2 linked regions of the Diceros bicornis minor genome follow. The protein of the gene in region 2 purifies or fractionates together with the protein of the main gene of each other region. This does not show direct contact. Links are inferred from orthologs where the notes say so. Each region holds a gene or a part of one and is shown on either strand. Other genes may lie near its edges.

What was found. The genes of interacting proteins can lie anywhere in the genome.
Region 1: the proteins of NCBP2 (region 2) and KPNA3 purify together in Homo sapiens (co-immunoprecipitation; 3 studies listed by BioGRID and IntAct, with this or other methods). This does not show direct contact. The link is inferred for Diceros bicornis minor from reciprocal best matches to the Homo sapiens genes NCBP2 and KPNA3.

Annotation. Positions count from the first base shown.
Region 1 is NC_080748.1:27,437,728-27,444,923, reverse strand, and holds the start of KPNA3 (importin subunit alpha-4), read right to left. Parts: upstream 3,010-7,196; 5' UTR 2,922-3,009; coding exon 2,853-2,921; intron 1-2,852. UniProt on the Homo sapiens protein: Functions in nuclear protein import as an adapter protein for nuclear receptor KPNB1. Binds specifically and directly to substrates containing either a simple or bipartite NLS motif.
Region 2 is NC_080754.1:29,108,440-29,115,655, forward strand, and holds the start of NCBP2 (nuclear cap-binding protein subunit 2), read right to left. Parts: upstream 3,016-7,216; 5' UTR 2,949-3,015; coding exon 2,871-2,948; intron 828-2,870; exon of another isoform or gene 581-827; intron 1-580. Other genes in the region: protein NCBP2AS2, read left to right, coding at 3,178-3,477. UniProt on the Homo sapiens protein: Component of the cap-binding complex (CBC), which binds co-transcriptionally to the 5' cap of pre-mRNAs and is involved in various processes such as pre-mRNA splicing, translation regulation, nonsense-mediated mRNA decay, RNA-mediated gene silencing (RNAi) by microRNAs (miRNAs) and mRNA export.

The DNA of each region.
Region 1 (7,196 bases), on a different chromosome or scaffold from region 2:
AACCCTCTCCCCACTCACAATTCTCTGGCATAACTCTACACTTTTATTTTCTTTAGAAAATATGTATTTCATTCTTGCATCGAGCATCTTATTTGTGTATCAGCTAGTTGTATAATTTATACTATATCTTTTATCTATCCTATATGTGAAAAGGTAGGAATGATATCTTGCCAGAGCGAATCTCACTGTTTTGAAATAGCCTGATGATCGCTACTTAGTCACAGAGCTAAATCGTAGTATAAGTTTTTAATGTAATATAGTTTCTAATGGATAAGACTAAATTAGTTATGGTGTTTAGTCTTAGCGATACCTAAATCCACAATAAAGGATCAGATTTGATTAGATTTGACCCCAGTTTACCCTTTAGTCACATCTCGAGCACTCCTTTCTCTCACAGCAGTCCTACTACATTCTCTCAGGACTCTTCAATTACTGCCACCTCAAGTCTGGAATGCCCCTTCCTTGCCCTCTCCCTTTCCCCGGCCAACTTTCTTTCATCCTTCAGGATCAGCTCATTCCCATCAATCCACCAGGAATCAACCAGAACATCTCTCTTGACTGCTCAGCTCCAAGTTAGCATCTCTTCATGCATTCTCAGAATACACTTATTGATGTACTGCATTGTAATTATCAATTTACTTTTCTATCATTCCTACTGAACAGCAATCTCCTTGAGGAACTGCAAACTCCTTGAGGGACAGACTGAATTTTACTCCCTTTTGATCCCCAAGACGTAACATTATCAGACACCCAATAGACAATTAGTGAACAAATGCTCGTACCCACTTCGTGACCTTGCGCAGGCTACATGAAGCACTCTTGAGTTTCCTCATCTAAAGTGCTTTCCTTCTGTAAAGTGGGGACAATGCCATACCAAGCTCATAAAGTTGTTATAAGGATAAAATGAGGTATCATGAAGCTCTTAGTTTAGTCTCTGTCATATAGAACTACCATTTGAATGTCTGCCATTTCACCCCTTCGTTACCCTAATGTATCCTGGGAAACGTGATGTTGTTACTACCAATAGTTTCAGACTGAAAGGCTTAGCAACCACGTATCTTTTTCATGCATCCAGAAGTCACTGGTTACATTCTGATCATCAGCAAATATTTATTGTGCACTTATTACATGCAGGAATCCCTACTAGGTATCACTGTGTTCCCAGAACACAGTAACAGAGGCAAACAATAAAACAAAAACCTGTAACAACACCCAAGAAAGGAAAGAAAGTTGTCAGCTCTTCTCTACAAACAACATGCTTATTTTTCAAACTACATAAGTTTTGCTTTATAACAGGGGTAAGCTTCAAGAACAACTACTGATGGAAAAAGTTCAAAATTAACTCCTATCATCAAGTGGACCAATAACAGGAGGCAGTTCCAAAATTTCTTGTTGCTCTTCCTAAGTTTCACTTTTGCTTAGAAGTATTTCTCACAAAAGAAATTTAACCATGACCGAGGCAGAGATAGACGACCTTTATCTGTCTCATTCAAACGGGAATTCCACAGTATTTCCCTAGGTTTTTTCCAATTAGTATTTAATTTTGGAGCTCTGAAAAATGGCCTGAGTTTTGTCTGGTTTTCTACGAAACAAGGCTGAATGGCATATTTTCCCCACCACCTTCTCTCTGAGACAAAATGCACACTTCCTAGTCACACTGGCCCCTTAGCAAGAATTACAAAACTGCAAATCATGTCATCTAGCATTAGAAAAAAAGACTGTGGACTTAAAACCACTTTCCCCCTAACAAATCCAGAGGTCAAAGTCCCAGTGAAGTTTATGCATTATACTACACTGCTTTTAGTAGCTGCAGAGAGACCTCTAGCGCTGCCTCAATAAGCCGAGTTTGCAAATAGTACCTGCTAATGTCACCTTAATGAGACAATGGCAACATGCTGAGTAGCAACGAACTGTGACCACGATGAATGTTTACAGTTTTGCAACCACTCGGAAATTCTTCCAGCTGGGAGCAAGAGGTATATATAAGGCCGTATGAACCTACGTATCCAATTTATTTCAGTAAAACATGTCAAAGAAATTATTATCCTATACACACCCTCACTACAAGAAAGGCTAAGAAAACAAGTCTTGTGAGCGGAGGTCGGAACAACGTCTCTTCCGAAGCCTCAACACAATAGATGGTAAACTATTGTCCACCTTCAGCTTGCTCCAAATGCCAGCAGTAACAAGAGTATGAGCTGGATCAGCTCAGCACGACTAGTCCAAAGGACAGCCTTGGAATATCAGAAAATGGTCCTGGCGCATCCTACCCTCCCCCATCCACCACCCTCAAACAAGTCAGTTACCCGGCTGGTCCCCACCCCCCTCTGCGGGCCGCCACCGCCCGCCTGGGCCCGGCTCGCAGGAGGCAGGCGCGGGGACCGGCAGAGCCGAGGCTCCATGTGCGGCAGGGCGGGACGCAGCGAGGGGCTGCGCCGGGCGGGAGGCTGCACGGGCAGCCGGCGCGAGCCGCGCCGCCCCCTCGGCGGTGCGGTCGACTGACCGGGGCGGCAGCATCCCCGGCCCGCGAGGCCCCGGCCCGCGGACCCCGCCTCAGCTCTACATCCCTTCCTCGCCGACAGCAGGCCGCGCCCGCGTGACGGAGCCGAAAACCCCGGCATTTCCCGGTCCCCGCGCCGGCAGCCCCGGAGGGTGGCTGCAGCCCGGCCCGCGTCCCGCCGTCCGCTCCGCCCAGCCCCGGGCCGCGGTGACGGCAGGCGGCGGCCAACTCTGACCCACCGCGAGCCGGCGAGAACCAGCCCGGCGCCGGCCCCCCGCCCCTCCCCGCCGCCGGGGGCCAGCGCGGCCAGGCGGGCGAGCCGGGCGGGCCCCGACCGCGGAAGCACACTCACTTCCACATCGCGGCCCTTGTTCTTAAAGCTCTTGATGCGGTGGTTCTCCAAGCCGGGGTTCTCAGCCATGGCTGCGCGCGGCTCCGGCGGCGGCTACTCCTGCGGCTGCGGCGACGGCGGCGAGTCTCGGCGCGGGAGGGGGAGGTGGGGGAGGACGGGATGGGAAGGGAGGGGGAGGGGGAGAGGCGAGCACGTTCCGTGACGCCTCCGAGCGCGAGGTGGCAGCAGCGCCGGGGGAGGCGCAGGCCGTCGGCCGGGCGGGGAGGAGTGGGGCGGGAACAGCGCAGAGGAGCTGCGCGCGCGCCCGGGGAGGCTGGGGGTCACGTGACCAGGGGCGGCCACGGGCCTGGACTCCGGCTGATTGTGCCCGGTTGTTCTCGGGGTGACTCCCACCCCACCCAACAAGGCCTTCCCGCAACCCCTAGGGCCTGCAAGTCCTGTGCCAACAACGGAGCCGTACTGAGCGGCTTTACTGCCCGCTAGACGCGGAGCACTGGGGGGGGGGGGGGGGACTACAGTTCCCAGCATGCCAGACTCCAGTGGGGGTAATTCTCCTAGCCTTGACAGAACGAAAAGAATGCCGGGAACACTAAGCGCGCGCCTTTCTGCGCGGCGCGCTCTGAGCTCCTTGTCGCGAAGCTCCGCCTCTAAGGCCGCCTCTGGGCGGGGAAGCGGGAGGAGCTTCCCCGGAGACGGCACCTTGCGCCCTATTGGGAAGGAGGGGGCAGGGCTTTCTGAGAGGCTCACCTCTCTCCCTGCAGCCTAGAAAATGCATAACCGACGCAGGGTTCGTGGTTTGCTCACTTGCTTCTCTGGGGTCTCGTGGAGTATCAGCCACCCTCCTTCGCTGTTCTCTTGGTCTGCTTTGGTTTTATAAATAGCATTCATTTCCACCTGACATGTACATATGTATGTATGTGATATGTGTGTTTATGTGTGTGTTACCTAGCTTATCGCACCGGAATTAACTCAGTAAGAGCAGGGACGTTGGCTGAATCCCTTGCATCAAAAGTGCCTGGCACGTCGTGAATACTCCATAAATACCTGAACAAATGAGCGCTCTAGCGTCTCTCGGTTTCTTCATCATCCTTCCAAGCCCGGTTCTGCAACCTTCATTATAGGAGGTCCTGCATTTCTGTGCCCCAAACACCTCTTGTTCCACCACCACACATAATCTTCTCAGCCTTTAGGCAGCAGTCAAGTACTCGTCCGCAGACTCGCCAGTCTAGCATCTCTCTTTAGATGTCATCGGAGGAATGATCAAGGGAAATTTGGATCTATAACACTAATAGAGTATTGCTTTCTGGAGCAAGTGGACTTCTTTGATTATATGTGAAATAATTCAGTTTCAGAATCTATGGCAGATAGAAGAGGTATGCGATGTTACAGTACAATTCAAATGACACTGAGGTCATTCAAACGTTGGTAGAAATATAACCATAAAGAGATTAAAGAAGACATTCTTTCAAAGCAAAGGGGCCTTGAAGAGCCTGGGTCCAGAGGTAAAAAAATGAGGCCTTTGGTGGCCAGGCTATGTCTGGGGCATTTGTTTTGTTAGTGATGGGACATTGGCTTTTTGATAAAACACAGGCCCATTTAAAGGCTTCAGACCATTGTTGCCATATTGTACTGTGGGCCAGTCTTGCCAAAGGTTCATTTTTTTAAGGCAAACCAAAAAGCTGGGTTCTTTTTACTTCATTTTTAAATGTTGATTCACATTTTCTAATGCACTTCTGTGAATCAGTCACTTTAGAACTCCAGGCTCTTACTTTGTACTATGTGATCCTAGTCCAACCACTCATTTGAAGAGGGGGAAAAAAACCAAAACTGAAGCTTAGAGTGAATAGATTGCTTCAACTCTAGTTCTTCAGGTGATGGAAAGTGCATGTTTGCCACTTTCGCTGATTGACTGGAAGAGAAACTTCTAGACTGTTGCTCAGTCTCTATTATAATTGAGCAAGGCATTCTCTTTTCAGGTTACTTTACCCCCTGCTACCACTTCTCTTCACCCTACTTGCTGTCATCAGATGTGTTGTCTTTCATCATTCTGAAGTTTTAGACATATTTAGTGAGCACTTACCATGTGTCAGTCATTGCACCAACACTAGGATACATTTGTAAACAAGACAGCCTGGTTCCTGCTTCCACACAGCTTCGTGTCTTTCAGAGTAGACAGACAATAAAATAAGTGGTCACCCCAAAAGTGTGGTGGGTGTCAAGGCTCACAGTAGGGAGATCTTTATAACCTGCTGATTCCTAAGACTCCTTACATATGAGGGCAAGATCACAAATGGAGGTCTACATAGCACATATATAAATATTTAAAAATTATACATCAAGCTTACAAACTTAAATAAAATATATTCTAACCTTTGACATTGACAAATGCACTTCCTTTGCAACCTGGAAGTCTGGGTTTGAATTCTAACGTCCCAACTTCTTGGACTTCTGCTTCAGAATTTGGTGGTGCAAAGAGGGCTGGAAGCCAGCCCCCAGCCCATTTTTTGTTCTTCTTCTCTTCCATGTCCCGGCGCCATCCTATACTGGAATAGACCTTAAGAACATGTGTGCATACCTCTACCCACGAAGTTCAAGTCCTGCTTCTCACCACTAAAGCTCTATTTACATCCCCCTACCCACCTCAAGAGATGCCCCTTAGCCATTGCTCAGGCCTAGAGCGTGCAAAGCAGTAGCATCGTGTGCCCCCAAAGGGATGGACCCAGGAAAGAGGCCTGAGAAGGCCCTGGAAGGAGGCGTGGCCATTGAGCAGGGAACCCCAGGGCTCTGGTATCCAGAGCTGGGTCTAGAGGCAAGGTTCCAGTGAGCATGAATCCTTGGCCGCATGGACTCCCGACGGGGAGTGGTGCAGCTGAAGAGAGCCAGAGTGAGGTCCTCTAAAGGGCAGGGTCCAGAGCAGGGCCCCCTCTTGCCCAGGTCTAACTTAGTCAGTTTTACTCTTTGCCATTATCCCTGGTGACTTCAACATCCACACACCTGGTACCCTGACCCCAGAGTCTCTCCACATTCTTAACTCTACCAGATTTCTACCACTTGTAGCTCCCACCAGGCCTTAGAGTTCTTAATCTCTGGGAAATAACTGCCTCCAGTGACTCAAATTTGGTGCTTCCCGTTGTTAGCAACCATCTCCTCTTTTCCCTCACTCTAGTCTTTGCCTTTGCCCTGAAACTTCTCCTGACAACTCTTCTTTTAAATAGATTTCTTTTCCAAACATATTTTTAGTATCCACCATATATCAAGCATTGTATCCATCAGGGACTTACATTAAGGAGCAGGGGAGTGGGGAGCAGAGCAGAGACAGGAAGGAAGGGCCCTCAAAGCCTGGGTGGTCAGTCACACTCTTCTTCTTCCTCTGACTCACCACCCACCTTCCCAGCGGATAGTCAGGTGGCAATACGCAGAAGGCAACACAAACACAACAGATCCAACATGGAGTTCCTGATTTTCCTCCTGAAGCTCTTTCTGCAAATTTGCCTACTCTGTTAATGGCATAACCATTCTTCCAGGGACTCCACTCAAAGCTAAGAGCCATCTTTACTCCCTGCCTCTCTCCCAACTCCCTCACCTAGTCACCTTGTTAATTCACCACTCAGTGCTTCTTGAATCTGGCTCTTCTTCCCATGCCACCCACAAGTCCACCTTAAGGCATCCTAACTGGTTCCCCTGCCTCCTCCATCCTCTCCACAACAATCTGACTAACTTCTCCAGATCTTCCTGATTTTACCTCTTCTCCCCACATCCAGTACACCCCTCCCCCTCACCATTGTCAAATCATTTCTAAATTCCTCAGTCTGGTGGTTAAGAACATGTGTGATCCAGCCACAGTGCAGTACACTTTTCTTATTTCTGACTCCCCTGCACAGAGCTTATGCTTCAGCTAACATGTTCTACTCAACCCTTCCCAAGTATGTCTTAGCCTTTCCAGCCTTCATATCTTTGCTGTTCAATTTATCTATAAAGCCCTGGCCCTATCTCTACCTGTCAAAATTGGTCCCTCTTTAAATGCTCAGCCTAAGAGTTTGCCCTCTCCGTGAAGCTTTCCCAGCATGGTGCAGTAGAGGGACCGGCAGAATCTGAACACTCAGACCCACTCAGAGTTCTGAACACTCGGAATCTGGTAGGGTTGACTTCCTACCAGAGCAAGCCCAGGCAAGTCACCTTCCTTGAACCATCTTCTCATCTACGAATGAGAATTCTGAATCGCTGGGTTTTTGTGAGAATTAAGTTGGAAGTGCTTTGAAATTGCTACATTAATGTTAGTTGTTAACTGTCTTTCCAACCAGGAGTGATATCTTCCTCTCTGAACTTCAGAAGAACTTACCTACT
Region 2 (7,216 bases):
ACCACAAATCCCTTGCCAAAAAAAAAAAGAGTCCATGAAGCACTATGCAGGTCCTCCTCCTGCACTATACTGCCACACAAGTGGCATGCCTTTTCCCTGTACACCCCATATCCTCAGCACTGGCTCCTTCTCTAATGGCCCAAATTTAATTTCTGGACCTTGAACCAATATATTAGAGGGGACCCTTTTATCCTTCATGATGAAAAATAAACGGATTTTCAGAGATAGGGAACTGCCTTATAATACTTCCATAGAGAATGTTCAAAGCAACAACTGCTTAGATGGTTTTACATGCTCATATATTTTTCTCTGAGTTTAGAAGAAAATGTAGGGATCACTAAAAATAAGATATCTCACTTTCTTGATGGGCTTCCTAATTTGGAAGACAAGATGAAGCGAGAGGAATACAACTGGACTTCAGCCAACACACCTGACAATCCCTGGGGACAAGATGGCTCATCATGGGCTAGACGTGGTATTTTAGATGGCTTCACAGAAACCTGTGTGGCCGTCCTCCGACTTTCTCTTCTCACCTCCTCCACACTGGGGAGGACGAATACTGATTAAATAGAAGACCTACCAAGTGACCTGCTCGCAGGCCCCTCTGACCCAGGTTACGGCTCTAACATCAACCATACAGTGGTATTCCAGCTTGGAAAGTAGCTCAGTAGATCCATACTCAGGCCCCCAGAGCATTTCCCAAGAGGCCTCCCTTCTTCATGTACTACACCATACATAATGCTGATCCAGCTTCCTTCACTCAGAGACTAAGACTGCATTATTCGTGTCTGAATGCTTTGCAGCACAGTGCTGAGTAATAGGTCTCCTGATCACATTCAGTGGTAGAACAGAGAAACCATCTGAACTCACATCCATCAAAAGGAAAATGGAATAAATTATGGTACATCAATAAATATAAAACTATGCAGTCCCAAAAAAAATCTAACATCCACATGCAGTGATATGGAACATCTCCGAGAGAGAGCAAAGTGAAAAAAGAAGGTACAGAACGTGAAAGGTATGCTGCAAGTTACATAAAAGTATGAATATACACAGATATCATACACAAGAAACAGTTAATTATGTCTGCCTCTAGGGAGAATCAAGGAACTGCAGGTCAGGGATTTCCATGTATGAGGGCTCATTTAATTTTCAGAACTGAATGAGGTATGTCCTAATTTATTATCCCCGTTTTACACCTGAGGAAAGACTATTAAGTAACTTGTCCAAGGTCACACAGCTACTCAGTAGTTGTAGCTGGAATCCAAACCCTGTCTTATCCCCAATCTCATACTCCCTAAAAAGTTCACAGGACAAGAGTCATTCTACATTAAAATAGGCTTTCAGAACTTTGGAATGAGACATTAAAGTGATTCACTTTATATTACTGCTGTTACTGATTTGTTAAAATTATGGTCAGGAGGCATTTATTTTTCTTTCTAGTTTTCTCCCACTTGTAAGTAATGTCCAAACAAATACCCTATGGCTTAAGACAACTGTGGTGTAAGTACTTAACGTGTGATGTTAACGTGGATTCCATTCAGGGAACACTAGAAATTCCGCATCACAGTATCTTTCTACTAAATAAAGCTATAGGCTTTAGACTTGCAGAGATGAATAACAGAAAAAGTCGTTTTTCTGTTTATCTGTTAATTAAAACTGTTCACAGTTTTAATCTTGCAGGATGCTTGAAATTCAAGATGGTTATGATGTGGAACTTTCTAAAGTAATGAGAACTGTGAAAGTAATAGAAGTGAAAATCATGCCCGGCATAGAGTAAGCATTTAAAAACTGTTGACTGAGTGAATGAATTTAAGATCTTCCTCAATTTCGCCTCAAACAAAATTTCCTTTTCCCTACCAACACATTTTACATTCTCCATGCCTACCCTCTTTTATATGTGGCCCTCCTTTCCCAGTCATAAGGGTTCTCCCTTCTGATTCCTCACAGCCCCTCCCTTTCCACTCATCATTTCTGCTCTAGATTAAGGTTACTTACCTCTATTTACCATCCCTACTAGAGGATTATGAACTCTAAGGGTGCCGAAACTGTCTTCTCTCTCCCTTTAAGGTTTAGCAGAAGGCTTCAGCAACAACACTCAATAAAAGTTTACTGAATAACCAGTGGTTCATGTGTCGTCCACCCCACCCCCGCCTTTGCTGATACTGAAGAGCGTACCCCGAATATCTGCAGCCTTCCCTTTTCCACATAATCTACTATGACATAGGCGAAACTGAAATTTCCCCCTTCTGAAACCCAGCAGTTCTCTGATCCTGATATCCAGACACTTAATGTGCCTAGCTTGGCTGGTCCACCTCCCCACTCCAAGGGCTTCCCTAAGGGTGGAGACAGGACTCAAATTTGTGTCTCCCATCCACCGCGTAGAACTGTGTAGGACCGTTCTACCAGACCAAGGACAGGACTCGAAGCGCCAAGGGGCAGTTTGGCTAATTTAACTTAAAATTTTAAAAAGCAATAAAAAGTCCCACTATCTGGGTCAGGAAGGCGCCTCCACATACTCCAGGCGTCAAAGGACACCTCTTCCCCTCATCGCCAAGTCAGCTTCCCGAGACACAGCCCGTGAAAACGTGAGCCACCACTACTGCCGCTCAAACCGCTCTGCAGTGGCCCGCTAACAGGCAGCGGCTGCAAGGGAATGGGAAAGCGAGCCTCAAACTCCCTTTCTATGAGAGATGGGGCTTCACTGACATCCAAACGCCCTTTCAGCATCCATTCCCCAGGAGGCACCGGGGCCTCTCTTCGCGTCCCGGGAAACTGGAGAACGGGAGACGACACAATGAGACAAGAGCAAACCGATTCTCGGCGTCCCGGCCTAGGGCCTTCCCTTCTCGCAGCCCGGCCTCCCTCACCCGGAAGTGCTGGTCCCGGTACTGGCTCAGCTCCACGTACGAGTCGCTGCGCAGCGCCTTCAGGAGGCCGCCGGACATAGTGCACACAGCTGGTCGGCGACGCCGCCACTCCGGGAACAACGAGGCCGCCGCGGCCCAGGCGGAAGCGGAAACGCGCGGGGGCGGTTGCAGAAAGTCGGAATCGTGCGGCCCAATCCAAGCGTGGCAGTGTCGTCACCCAGCGGCGCGGGCGCAGACGTGGTCCGTTGTTGGGGAGCGCCGAGCAGAAGCAAGAGCGGCGTGCTTCGGGTTCCGGGTGGCTCCGAGGATGGTTCTTCGGCGGCTGCTGGGCGCCCTGCTGCACAGCCAGCAGCTGGTGGAGCGTCTGTCCGAGTCGCGGCCGATCCGGCGCGCGGCGCAGCTCACGGCCTTCGCACTGCTGCAGGCCCAGCTGCGCGGCCAGGACGCGGCCCGGCGCCTGCGACGCCTCGCGGCTGGGCCCGCGGGCTCCCTGGGCCGCCGGGCTGCCCGCTTCAAAGACACCTTCACTCAGGAGCTACGCCGCGGCCTCCGGGAACGCCCGGGGCCACCACCAGGTAGCCGGCGGGGCCCGGGCGCAAACCCCTGAACCCGGGCTGGGCTGGGCCGGGCCGAGGTCGCCTGCTTTCCCTTCTAGGCTCGACACAGGCCTCGGCGCTAAGGAGTCACCCCGGGCACTGCGCGCGGCTTCGAATCCTGACTCAGATCGTCGGCCTGCCGGGGTCCCACTGGCCAGAGCTGGGTGAAGCCCTGTGATCCGACAGGGCACCGTGTGTGAAGGAAGCCCCCGAAGCCTGAGAGGAAGAAAGATAGGCTGGGCCTGGATACATCACGGACAGGGAGCCACGGACCAAACCTCAGCCCGAAAGACAGTCTGCCCTCCGCGAATGGGACTAAAACTCGTGGTCTATGATGCTGCCTCTGCACTGATGTGCTAGCAGGGCGTGACTTCCAGGGGAGATCATGGATGGGAAGACAGCCCTGCAGCTGCCAAAATCCTCTGATTAAATGTGTGAGCTGGGTAATGGGTATGAGCGTGGTACTTCTCCGGCAAGATGGGTTAGGATTCCTGGGGACTGTAGGCACATGGTAATACTAGTGAACACGTATTGGGTGCTTACTCAGTGCTGGCACCAGCTAATGCACTCTGTGTGGGTTAGCTCACTTAACTCTTTACAGCCAGTTTCACATCAGGAAGTGTAGGCTACTCCTTAAGTTGCCCGTGGCCTTACAGAGTGGGATGTGAATACAGGCGTTTGACTCCAGGGCCTAAATCCTTAGTCAGGGCTCCCTGCCACATTTACCCGGACCTTCGTTGCCCGCCTCCCACCATCACCACCGTTGGGTGTTAGGACTCCTGCCTACGTGGAACAAGCTGCCTGGATTCCTGTTCCCCATTTTAGAGGGTCTGGGATACAATCTAAAGACTATGGTCCAGCGAATGGAGCCATGGTTAGGAAATTCATTGTACACAGAAATGGCGTCATTTGAGGCTTTTGACTGCATATCTGATCACCTCTAATTAGGCTACACAGTTAATCATGTGATCTAGAAAGCTCGAAACCACAGGAGAAGCTTTTAGGCTGGTAACCAAAGACAATTTATACTCTGGCTTTTCTGATAGTCACAGAGAGAGAGTTAGATAGAGCCATAGACCTACGCTGGAGATGGAGAAGCTAAAGTAGCTGGTCCTCCACTTTCCTAATGGTCAGACTTTTGACTTCACATCCCACTCTCCAGTCTTCCTATCAGAGGTGCTGCTATTTAATCCTCTCTGAAGCCAGAGGTCCCAGTCTCCTAATTACCAAAGTCCTGATTTGGCATGTGTCCTATCTTCCTGTCCTCCCATTAGAAGACAAATCCTCTCCCAGACCAGAGGCAATTCACTGGCTTCTCCTCTGAGCCTGGCAGTGAGGAGCTTGAGGAATTTGTTCATTCTGACTTGTCTGCCTCATTGGTCTCAATCCCACTCATTACTCTGGATATCAGAGGAGCAGAATATTGGCAGTCCCCAGCCCAACCCCTTACCCTCAACATAAATAAGCACACTCACTGTTAGGTCTTTTTCCAGACCAGCAGAGTCAGAAAGAGAAGCAGTACAGGAAGCAATGCAGCTTCCAGATAAACTGGCCATTTGGTAAGAAAGGAAGGAAAGCAAGCGAAGGGAGCAGTTTATTTTTTGTCAAAGAAGTGTATAAGAACTGCGTTCCCTCCATTTTTGTAGAAGGAGTCTGGGAGGAGAGAGAGAACTGGGTCTTTTCTGTGCAGCTGGAGGTGATTTACATGCCTACCCCCTTCGTTGGAGAAGCCTCCAGTGTTTGTAGTCAGTGGCTTGCCATCCCACCGGTTACCCTATGACTCAAGAAACAGACCAAACTCTTCCCACCACCCCCAGTAGCAGCGATTTCCCAGCATGCCTTTTAAGCTCTTCTAAGCTCTTCCAGAAAGGGAAACAGGGAGGCAACTCACCCTGCTATACTGCAGGGCAATTCCGACTCACCCCTGATGCCACACAGATTTAGATACCAACGGTTTATGGACAAATTCATTTGAACTCAGACCACCACAATCCACGTGGACTGCTACACCAGTGGTTCCTCCAGGGAATTCTGAGGTTGTGGACCCAATTGAGGGAAGGAAGAGGCAGAAGTCCCAAGAAGCCCAGAGGAGTTTGGGACCCCCCCTAGAGTCTGGGATGTCTCCAAGGTGGCACTTGGTTTTTATCTGTTGGGCAGGAAAGCCATCTTTGGCAGCATAGTAAACAAATACATGCTTATCGTGTTCCAGAGATGATGCTAAGCAGTAGGGGTAAGAAGACCAATCAGAGCTTCATAGCAGAAATAGACCACAAGAACAGTGAATTGTCCTGAAAGGGTACTGTAGAGTTTAACGTAGGGAAACGTCTGGGAGTGTGCTAGAGGCAGCCTATACAGAGCAGATCCTTGGCATCTCCTCCCCTCTCAGAGCCATGCTGGGAGTATTTATACCCAGAAATTGGCAAATGCTACAAATGGGGGCTTTTTTGCACCAGAGAACAGGTTGCTAAACATTTACCAGCTTACCACTTTTTCCTCTTCCTCCAGGTTGGAGTCATGAGGAAAGTGTGGCACTAAGACCCTAGCAGCAGCCACAGAGCAGCATGCCGGGGTAAGGGTGTGGCTTTAAGATGACCCAAGGCTTTAGCGGGCAGAATGCAGAGCTAGAGAAGTGCTCAGGTTTGGTCATTCGTACAGGTTTGGTCTCCTGCTCTGCGCTGACCTCCAGCTCACTGACCCCTGTGGCCTGGGTGTTCTCATGAAATGGTAGCGGTTCTCATGAATGGTAGCCACAGCTCCTCACATTCCCAGTGGACTGGGTAGGGGTACCCTATGTTGGGAGCAACATGCCCAGGGGTGTGATGGCTTCCACCAGAGCAGCAGGTGTTGGTTTGGCATGGGGTTTGCTCTCCATCCTGTGAAGAGAGGTTTCAGACAGGAGCTTTGAACTTGGAAAGTGAACAGACCACATTTAAGAAGGGCCTCTGGGAGCGCCAGGTTGTCCTCAAGTGCCGCCAGATACTGACTGAGCATCGTGTGTTCTCCATTCCTAGTGGGGCAGGCTGAGGAGGGAGAACATCTGAGCTCCCTCATCTGGGACGATGATCTTTAAAGGGTGAGATGCAGAAATGTCCCACCACCTCTCTCAGGGACAGGAGTAGAAGAGAGTGGGAAGAAAAGTTCCAGAATTACTTGTTTTGGTAATTACGGAACACTGAGACAGCAGGCACCAACATGCCATTAAGTACAACAGTACACCTGCTTCTCTGCTTAGAGACCTCTGGGAGACACATAGCTGTCTAGCCAGGGGACATGTGCTACAGACCCAGGAGTGACAGTGTTAGCTGGCAGACACTGCAGAGATCCTCTGATCCATTGTACAGATTGGGAAACTGAGGCTGGGTGAAGGAAAGGGGCTTTCTTAAGATCACACAGCCAGTAAGTGGCAGACCAGGAACTAGAACTCAGGTCCCCTGAATCTGAGCTACCTGCTTTCTCAACATCACCACACTGCCTCCTTCCAGGGATCTAGGAAGCCAAAGGGTTGTCAAGACAGCAAGCGGTAAGGCATCCTGGAAGGTTTGGGAGAGACCATTTGGGAATGACATTAGCAGATCATTGTCTCTTTCACAACCAGGTGCTATTATATATTTAAAACATCACAGTGGCTGGAAGGAATATGACAGAAACAGACATTAGGCGCCATTGGTTACACCAGGTTCTTTGGGGACCTTGGGATCAGGACCATGACTGGTCAAATCTTTGGTCTTTGAGGGAAGAAGCATGCCAGCT